Linked DNA regions of Chlamydomonas reinhardtii. The protein of the gene in region 2 binds, or shares a complex with, the protein of the main gene of each other region. Links are inferred from orthologs where the notes say so. Each region holds a gene or a part of one and is shown on either strand. Other genes may lie near its edges. The genes, in order: CHLRE_04g231026v5 and CHLRE_11g479750v5.

Evidence for each region.
Region 1: the proteins of CHLRE_11g479750v5 (region 2) and CHLRE_04g231026v5 are in contact, whole or in part, in an NMR structure (PDB 2HUG), measured with the Arabidopsis thaliana proteins. The link is inferred for Chlamydomonas reinhardtii from reciprocal best matches to the Arabidopsis thaliana genes CPSRP54 and CAO. Residues at the interface, in NP_196014.1 of Arabidopsis thaliana: Pro532, Gly533, Thr534, Ala535, Arg536, Arg537, Arg539, Lys540, Ala541, Asp542, Ser543; in NP_566101.1 of Arabidopsis thaliana: Glu268, Tyr269, Ala270, Glu271, Val272, Lys283, Val289, Trp291, Glu298, Trp299, Val300, Lys301, His304, Val305, Ala306, Val309.

What each region holds. Positions count from the first base shown.
Region 1 is NC_057007.1:3,927,312-3,931,582, reverse strand, and holds the start of CHLRE_04g231026v5 (uncharacterized protein), read right to left. Parts: upstream 3,058-4,271; 5' UTR 2,877-3,057; coding exon 2,610-2,876; intron 2,327-2,609; coding exon 2,307-2,326; intron 1,449-2,306; coding exon 1,376-1,448; intron 748-1,375; coding exon 668-747; intron 356-667; coding exon 264-355; intron 1-263. Other genes in the region: CHLRE_04g230928v5 (uncharacterized protein), read left to right, coding at 3,246-3,344, 3,435-3,563, 3,910-4,067.
Region 2 is NC_057014.1:3,241,266-3,245,562, forward strand, and holds the start of CHLRE_11g479750v5 (uncharacterized protein), read left to right. Parts: upstream 1-1,480; 5' UTR 1,481-1,643; coding exon 1,644-1,763; intron 1,764-2,501; coding exon 2,502-2,625; intron 2,626-3,483; coding exon 3,484-3,533; intron 3,534-4,044; coding exon 4,045-4,134; intron 4,135-4,297.

The DNA.
Region 1 (4,271 bases), on a different chromosome or scaffold from region 2:
CCCCAGCACCACATCTCCTCCTCCCCTCCATCCGCCCAGGCCCTGCCCCTCCTCCTCCACCCCACGCCCCCTCCATATCCTGCACGCCCAAATCACTCCCGTTCCTGCCCTGCCTTCCGCTCCCTGCTCACCCCTTAAATCAGGACCTATTTTTGGGCCCGGACTTTCCATGTAGCCACGCCTCCTCGGCCCCCACCTCCCCTCCCCCTCCCACCTCCCCCTCCCCCGCTCCCCATTTCCCTCCCCCACTTCCCCCCGCTCACCCTCCTTGTCCTGCAGGTCCAGCTCCGCCCCCGCCTCCACCAGCAGCCGTGTGCACTCGGCGGAGCCCAGCGCGGCGGCGAAGTGGAGCGCGCTGCAGACAGGGAGTGGGTGGGCAGGTAGGTAGGTAGGTAGGTTTGCGCGGTGGGAGGCGGGTGTTTGGGTCGTGCCGCCGTGCCAACACGCCACGCCCCAGGCACGACCCTGGTGCCCCCCCCCCCACCTGCCCCTTGCCCTCTCTCCTTAGTGAGCTCTCACGTCGCCCTCCTCCCGTTTATCCTCACTCCCCCTCTTCCCCATTCTTCGCCCTCCTCGCCCCACCAGGAAGCGACCCCGCCCGACATGTCACGAAACACACACGCCACGCCCGTGTAGCCCCCCTTTGCCCTCTCACCCCCGCCCCCACCTGCGCCTGTTCTCGTCCACCACGTGCGCCAGCAGCTCGCGGCCGCCGCCCAGCATCTTGATCATGGCATCCACGTCAGCCTGGGGGGTGAGGGGTAGGGTGGGTGAGGTGGGGTGGGGTGGGGTGGGTAACGAATGCAGGGATGGTGGCATTACGCCCGCACGCCCGCATTCCGCCGATCACCTCGACTCAACGCCGCAGCACGACGCTATGGCCGCTGGTTCCTGGCCCCTGGCCCCTGGCCGCTGGTTCCTGGCCCCTGGCCCCTGGCCGCTGGTTCCTGGCCCCTGGCCCCTGGCCGCTGGTTCCTGGCCCCTGGCCCCTGATCCCTGGCCAGCCGCACCTGCCTATGACCACCGCCTGCAGCAGCGCCCCCTGCCCCGCGGCCACATCTTGCCTTAAAGGTGGGGTGGCTCTCCCGTCGCCCACCTCACTCCCCCACCCCGCCCCCGCGGTTTGACCCCAGCGGTGCCCGCATCTGCGCCGTCTCCATGTCAGGCCCCTCCGCTATGGCCACAGTATCAACAAGCGCAAGCTGTCTCACTGTCAGGACCCCAACACCACGGCGTGCGCCCTGAGCCTGACGTCAACCCCTCCTTCGCCTCCCAGCTCCTCCCAGCTCTTGCTTCTCCCACGCCCTCCCATCCATGCCCTGTTACGCCCCTCCCCACAGCAGCTCCGCCCTCCGCTCCTCCTGCTGCCTCCCACCTTGCGTGCCGCCGCCCACCACTTCTCCTCGAAGTCGCGCACCAGGTCCTCGGACAGGTCCGCAGCCACCTCCCTGCACAGCGGCGGCGGGAGGGTGAGGGAGGAGGGAGGGAGGGAGGGAGCGTGCAAGGGGGCGTGTGCAAGGGGGCGTGTGAAAGGGGGCGCGTGTTGGCAGGGAGTGCGCCCAGGCAGTGCGCCGAGGGAGTGCTGATTGCAGGCTACGTGCGGCGCGGCGGGAGGAGACCGCCCAGTCTGTTTCCCCGCCCCCCTGCTGGCCGCCCCGGACTGGGAGCCGCGGGTTGTGCTGACGGTGTCTAGTACGGCAACGGGTGGGTACCCGCCAGACCTCCCCGCCGAGGGCCCCATGCCCCATGCAACCGGGCCCCGGCCCCGAGCCCAACACCCGCGCCGGCAGCGGCGCTGGGCTGGGCTGGGCTGCTGCTGCCCATGGCTGCGTGCTGCTGCGCCTGAAGGCGGTGGCGTGTGGGGTGTGGTGCCAGGCCACAGGACTGGGTGACCCAGCACCGCACACGGCCCTACGCAAGCACGCGCCCATACGGTACGCCTCTGTCAGGGTGCGCCAGACCCGCCGCCAGACACCCCGCCCGGCCGCCGTGCGGCGCCGTGCCGGGGTGCTGTGAGGCGTGCAGCCGTGCTGGATCCAATGCAACCGCCTGGGGCGTGTGCGCCGGAAGTGCCTGCCCCCTTCAACCCCGGGGCATCCCGGCTGCTGACCAGTCCACCCTCGCCCAGCCAACAGCCATGGACACTCCTGTCCCGTCAGCCCCAACCCCAACCCCAACCCCAACCCCAACCCCAACCCCAACCCCAACCCCAGCCCCAGCCCCAGCCCCAGCCCCAGCCCCAGCCCTGGCCCTGGCCGCCGTCCCAGCCCTGGCCGCCGTCCCCGGCCTCGCTCCTGCCAGCTCACCAGGTGCTGTCAGATCCGTCCTGTGGAAGAATTGGAATGGGACGGGAAGAGCGGGCGGGAGGGGGAGCGTAAGCTGCGTGCAGGCTCCTGGGCACATGACAGCATCCCGGGCGCAGGAAGTGCGGTGAAGAGTGCAGCAGCTAGGCGCTACCCCGGCGCGGTAGAGGGCAGGGGTTGACGGGCAGCGAGCAAGGATGGTTGGGACGGGGGGTGGGGTACGGATGGCATGGTCGACGCGGGAGATGTCTCGCGACACCTCGTGAAGCATAAGGTGGGTCGCGCTGCACCCGGCCCAGCTCTCACCTTCCATTTCACTAGGTACTCGACGCGCGGGGGATCCGACTCCACCACGACGCGCGCGCCTGCAAGCTCCTCGACCTCCTTGTAGCCCTCCGCATACACAAGCGCTGGAGGCCCCGCACGAGCAGGAGCTAGGAGCTGTTGGTGTACTCTCGATGCCACAGGAGCAGCAGCGGTCAGCTGTCGCGCGCGAGGCGCGACACTCGGCACGACCGGCAAAGGGTTCCGGCCGGTGCAGGCCGGAATCGAAGCCAGCTTTCGCATAAGCATTTTTGTCTTATTGTAAAAGGTCAATAAGAAAAGGCGGATCTAGCAATGGAGTAGCGGCGTTCAGGGGCCCCTGTCCTTGCCGGGAGAGTCCCCTGCAGGTTCCGTAGGAGCTGAGACTTATTTAATCAAAGCACTCCTTTGGGTCTACTGCTGGAGGGCGGCAGGACGAGGGCCTTCAGCGAAGATTTTTGCAATGAGGGCCTTGTCAGTTTTTTTCAGGCTCGCGACCCCCTGTCGATGCCCTAATATCATAGGTTTGTACTAGATAGATGATAGATAAACTCCAGAATGCGGTCAAGATGGCTCCTCGCACTCTTCGCGAGCTTGAAACTGGCAGTTTTTGTAGCTAGTCAACACGACCACACGCCGATGGTATTTGAGCCATCGCACGTTGCTCTTCAGCTTGCAGTATCCAATTTCACCGACATTATAGGGAAGCAGACGGCCACCCAGCAATGTCTCGTTGAGGTACGCACGCCAGGGACAGCTTCAGTGGCCCCAAGCATTTGTACACCTAGCGGCGGATAGCGGTAACATAGATTTGCGTGCCTACTGCAGTTCTACGCGTCGTGGTGCCCTGCGTGTAAACACTTTGCTCCTACTTTCGAGAAGATAGCAAAGTTCCTGAGCACTCAGAAGCTTGACGGAGGAAAACTCTTCATCGCGCGTGTGGACTGCGCAACTGAGGTGCGGGCGGGGTTGTGCAACTGTCGATCGATCGCTTGTGCAAGCGCGCGCACAAAGGATCTTATTTGTTGTCTTCTAGTACACGAGTGGTTGCGTATGGGAGTCGTGGGTGGCGCAGGTGAAGCCAGCAGGGGCGCTGCCGGCCTCCAAGCGAAACCGTGGGTACCCATTCCTTCACACCCGCGCCTTCCTATTGATCTAGGCCATTTGCCTGTTTACCTAACGCGCCCCCGGACTCAAAGGAGTTAGTGGGGCCACATGGACTCGAACCCATGTAAATGCTCATGCTCATGCGCCTTCCCACAACGTTCCCCTCTCCCCTCGTCCCCCTCGCCATGCTCCCCAGGTGGACCTGTGCAGCGCATTTGAGATCGGCGCCTACCCCTCGCTGCTGCTGGGGCCTGGCCCCGCCTTCGTCGCCAAGCAGCGCAAGTCGCTGGCCAACTTCGAGGGGCCGCGCGAGCTGGCGCCCATCCTCACCTGGGTGGGAGCTGCCTTCAACACGTGGGTGGCGTGTGGTGGTGGCAGCGATGGGGTGGTGGTGAAGGGGGGGTGGTGAAGGGGCCGTTGGAGGGGGCGTCGGAGGGGCGGTGTGGCGCTGGAGGCGGCGGTGGAGGGGGCAGTGGACACGGGTGACGGCGTGTGTATGCGCGGGTATGTGAGTAGGCGGATATGTGCGTGTGGAGCAGGCGGATAGGTGGGTGGGGA
Region 2 (4,297 bases):
AGTGTACGGTGCAGATGTTGCCAACTGGCGTGAGAGGCCGCAAGGCGCAAGAGGATGCCCACCGGGTGTCAACCGCTGGCTGTAGCATGCATGTCCTTTACTGATACGCTAATGTGTTTGATGCGTGGGATGTGGGAATATGGCACATGCGTAGAATGTGGGCACGGAACTGGGACAGTGCGCAAGGAAGAGGGGTCTTCAGGGGAATCTCATTGGGCCATTTACTTTACGCTGGCAAGAAGGTGCTGCCGAGCGAGTACCGCATCATATACATGCGCATGTAGGCGTGTCAGCGCCTGTCATCATGCCGTGTGCACTGTGCAGTAACAAATGCTGAGTGGATCAGGAATACCGTGTTGCAGCCCACACCAATTCTGGTAACGCAGAGTGTGCCTGTGTGGTATTGCCCGGACCAGGGAACCCCTGGCCCGGACGCCCACTAGGTGTAGCAATGCTCGCGACTACTCACGGCAGCAAGCCCTCTTGCAACCAATGCATACTGCGTCACTGTGCGGCATGGGTGCGATGGCTACATCCCCGCCGGGTGGTCATCACACCCGAAAGTACATCGATGATGTACAAGCATCCTGCACAGGCTGCACTTGCACATCCTGTGGATCCCTCGTCACATTCTGGGACATGTACCAGTATACCACGACCTGCCAGCTGCGCCAGCGGTCAGCAGGAAGCAGCAATCACTGCAACACACCTAACAAGGCTCACGACTTTGACTTGTCCGCCACCTTGTATGGCCTATTGCCGCCGGACCGTCAACCGCAGCCCTGCATGCCTCCGTATGCCTCCGCCTGCCCCAAGAACCCTACCTCTGCCTTCCGTAGCCTGGGTGGCGCAGGACCGCGTGCCGTGTTGCCGCCTACCTGGTGCCGTACATCCCTCCGGCAGATGGCGGCGATTGCGCCTGTGCCCTGACCCTGACCCTTAAGTCTCCTTGAACGGCAAGGAGGCTTGCCGGAGGTGCGCCTATCCAGGGTAGGTTCTGCCCATGACCCATTCATTCATCCCCTATCTGACAAACAATATGTTGCAAACGTTACGAACAATGTTTACGGGGCATGAGGGCACAGCGACCTTGACAAAGACAGCATGTACATCACGGCAGCGCTTGCCCTCGCAGCATAGGACCTTCATAGGCTGCAAGCCACATAGGCTGCAAGCCACATGCCTTACTCCTGAGCTGGAAATTTTGTGGGCTGCTCCCTGGGAGCTGCCTCGCAAGGATTCACCTCGTGGGTTCACCGCGAGCGGAGGCGCGAGCCTAGGGACGTGTATGGTTTGGCACGACGCTGACCTGAGCTCGCGCGACTTGCTATACGATTTCAAGAAAGCATTACCTATGCTAAAATATTCAACCACCTCCCCCTTCAGGGCGGGAATCTGGGTCTGCCATCGGTGCCGCGCAGCTTGCAGAACTGCAAATCCATCGTCTTCAGAGAATCATTTTAACAAAGCTTTGCTTTTAGTGTAGCATACATATTAAGCTGTGGGGCTACGCGCGGCGCGGGAAGATATTGCTCCTGATTCCACCATCGCTAGATTTAACTTCTTACGTCATCAAAGAAATACTCTGGGCTGGTAATAAAACAAGTAGATCTGCAAACACTTGACTGGTCGCGCTGGTCACCATGCAAACTGCGCTTCGCGCCCGCTCTGCCGCTCCTCGCGGTGCCTGCAACCGGACTGCGGTTGCACCTGTTGCATCTGCTCACCTTCGTGGTCAGTATGCGCCCTTCAGCGGTGCCCAGGTGAGACGGCCTCCCGAGCCTTCTGGACCTCGGGGAGGTACATGGGAACCCTGGATACTGGGTACTGGGACTGGGATTGTGGGAACCACCGGGCGGCCGTGGACACGTGCAAGGCTCGAAGAGAATCTGGGGGGGGGGGTTGACGGAAGGGGGCAATAGGGTTGTTGGCACACCGGGAAGGGTGGTGTGCAGCCTGGTCTGCGGTCTGATGACGGCGCCTAGCAGGGGCCAGGCCTGTGTCCGCTAGACATCCCATTAATGGCCTCGCAGCCTAAGCGTGGGTGCAGAGCAAGGTTTGCGTGTTGCAGCGCTCCGCTGGTTTGTTCGAATAGTTTTGGTTGCGTGGAATGCGCGGGGATTCCGGATTCGTGTTCGTGCCTACCGCGGGTCGCCGGAGTCGGCCCCACGCGCCCATATGTCGGTAAAGTGGATCCTCGCGCTAGAACCCAGGTCGAGGGCGCTCCCATGCACGCCCATCTATTGCCCAGCAGTGCCTGGCAAGTAGCAGGCCTGTTCATGCCGTGTCCGCCCGCCCAGACCAGCGCGCCCACCCTCTCCCCTCTCTCGCTTTCGCGCAGCACGCACCTCCATTCAATGCTCACGTCCGTGCTCACCGCTGCTCTCGCTGCCCTCGCCAACTCCGCTGACCTCGCTGCCCCCGCTGCCCCCGCTGCCCCCGCTGCTACCCCTATCCCTCTCCATCTCCCCGCTCCCCGCTCGGCCGCCACCGCCTGCCAGGCGCGCCCCGCTCTTGGTCGCCAGCGGCAGCAGCAGCAGCAGCAGCGCCGCGGCGCGCTCGTCATCCGCTCGGCCATGTTCGACAGCCTGAGCCGCAGCATTGAGAAGGCGCAGCGCCTGATCGGTGAGAGGGAGCGAGAGGGTGGGGGAGAGGGGTTGGGAGAGGCGGTGGGAGGGAGCGGGCGGAGAGGGGAGGGAGAGGGAGGGTGAGGGAGGGAGAGGGAGGGAGAGGGAGGGAGCATGGGGCGCAGCACACGAAGGCCCGGAGCAGGGAGGGGCAAGGCGACATGAAAGCTGTGTTGTATTTGGGGGAGAGGCAAGGGGTGGAAGAGGGGGGCTCTGGGGTGTCAGGTGGATCGGACGGACAAGCTGGTAGGCAGGTCGGCTCCAGGCTGTGAGCCATGGGACACATGGGCAAGGAGCTGGGCAAGGAGCTGGGCAAGGAGCATAGGATGGTGGATAGGATGGTGGATAGGATGGTGGCTAGGATAGTGGATAGGATGGTGGATAGGATGGTGGATAGGAGGGACGATAGGAGGAACGAGCTGGGGGCTGTGAGTCACGGCGGCGGATGGGAAGGGCGACCGCAGGGCGCCGCCGGGGACTCCACAGGTGCCGTGTGCACAGGGCCACAGGCTGGGGGCGCTCCACGGGACACATGGTCAAGGCGCACACCGTACCCAGGCGCAAAGCGACATGTGTGCGGTGTTACCATACCGTGTCCCCACGGCTCGCGCCCCAGCCATGCCTCCGCCGCGCCTCTGGCGCTGCTGCGTCCTCTGCGTCGACTTACTAGCCAGCTTCTCGCTCGCGCTCGTACACACACACACACACACACACACTTTCGTTTCGTTATTTAACACACACACACACACACACACACACACACACACACACACACACACACACACACAGCGCACGTGCATGGGCGGACGCGCGCTCATGTCGTGTCCCTAAAACATGCCTGCACACTGGCGCGCAGGCAAGAGTGGCACTCTGACGGCGGAGAACATGAAGGAGCCGCTCAAGGAGGTGAGGGGTGGGAGGGGAGGGGTGGGGGTGGGGGTGTGTGGGGAAGTGCGTGTATCGTGGTTTGACCTGGGGTTTGGATTTGGGATTTAGCCTGCCAAGGAGGTGAGGGGTGGGTGAAGTGTTGTGTAAGCGAGTGCGTGTAGGGTTAGTGTCGTAGTCGTCGCCTGCATCCTATGTGGGGTGGAGTTAGTCTTGGCCAAGCTCAACCACGGGGCTAAGGGTTTGAGCCCAAGAACGCTTGGATGGAAATCGCGGCACGTATGGCCTTTGTGTGGAAGCGGCGGCCAGGATGGCACGGGCGACAGGAGGAGGAGGTGGAAAGGAAAGCGCGGCACGAGGGCAAGGGCGGTTGCCGGTGTGCGTAGGGATCCCAGGCGTGGTCGTGGCGCGGGGACGGTGGAAGAGGCGGCGCGGGTGACAGCTGCCCGTGTATTGTGCCAATACACGTGCCCTGCCACACATCATCGCTTCTTTTTTAGCCTTGCAACCCCCTCTCTCCCCCATCCTGCAGGTCCGTCGCGCTCTGCTGGAGGCTGACGTGTCGCTGCCTGTGGTGCGCCGGTTCATCAAGAAGGTGGAGGAGCGGGCGCTGGGAACTAAGGTGCGTGAGGAGCGTGTCAGTGAGTGCGCGAGGAGAGGGGCGCGCGATGGGAACAAAATGGAAGAGCGTGTGCGAGAGGCGTGGGGAATAGGAGCAGGGGTGGAGATGGTGGAGGGTAAACTGTCCACTGCAAGACGGCCTGGGAAACAGGGGGGTGGGTAGG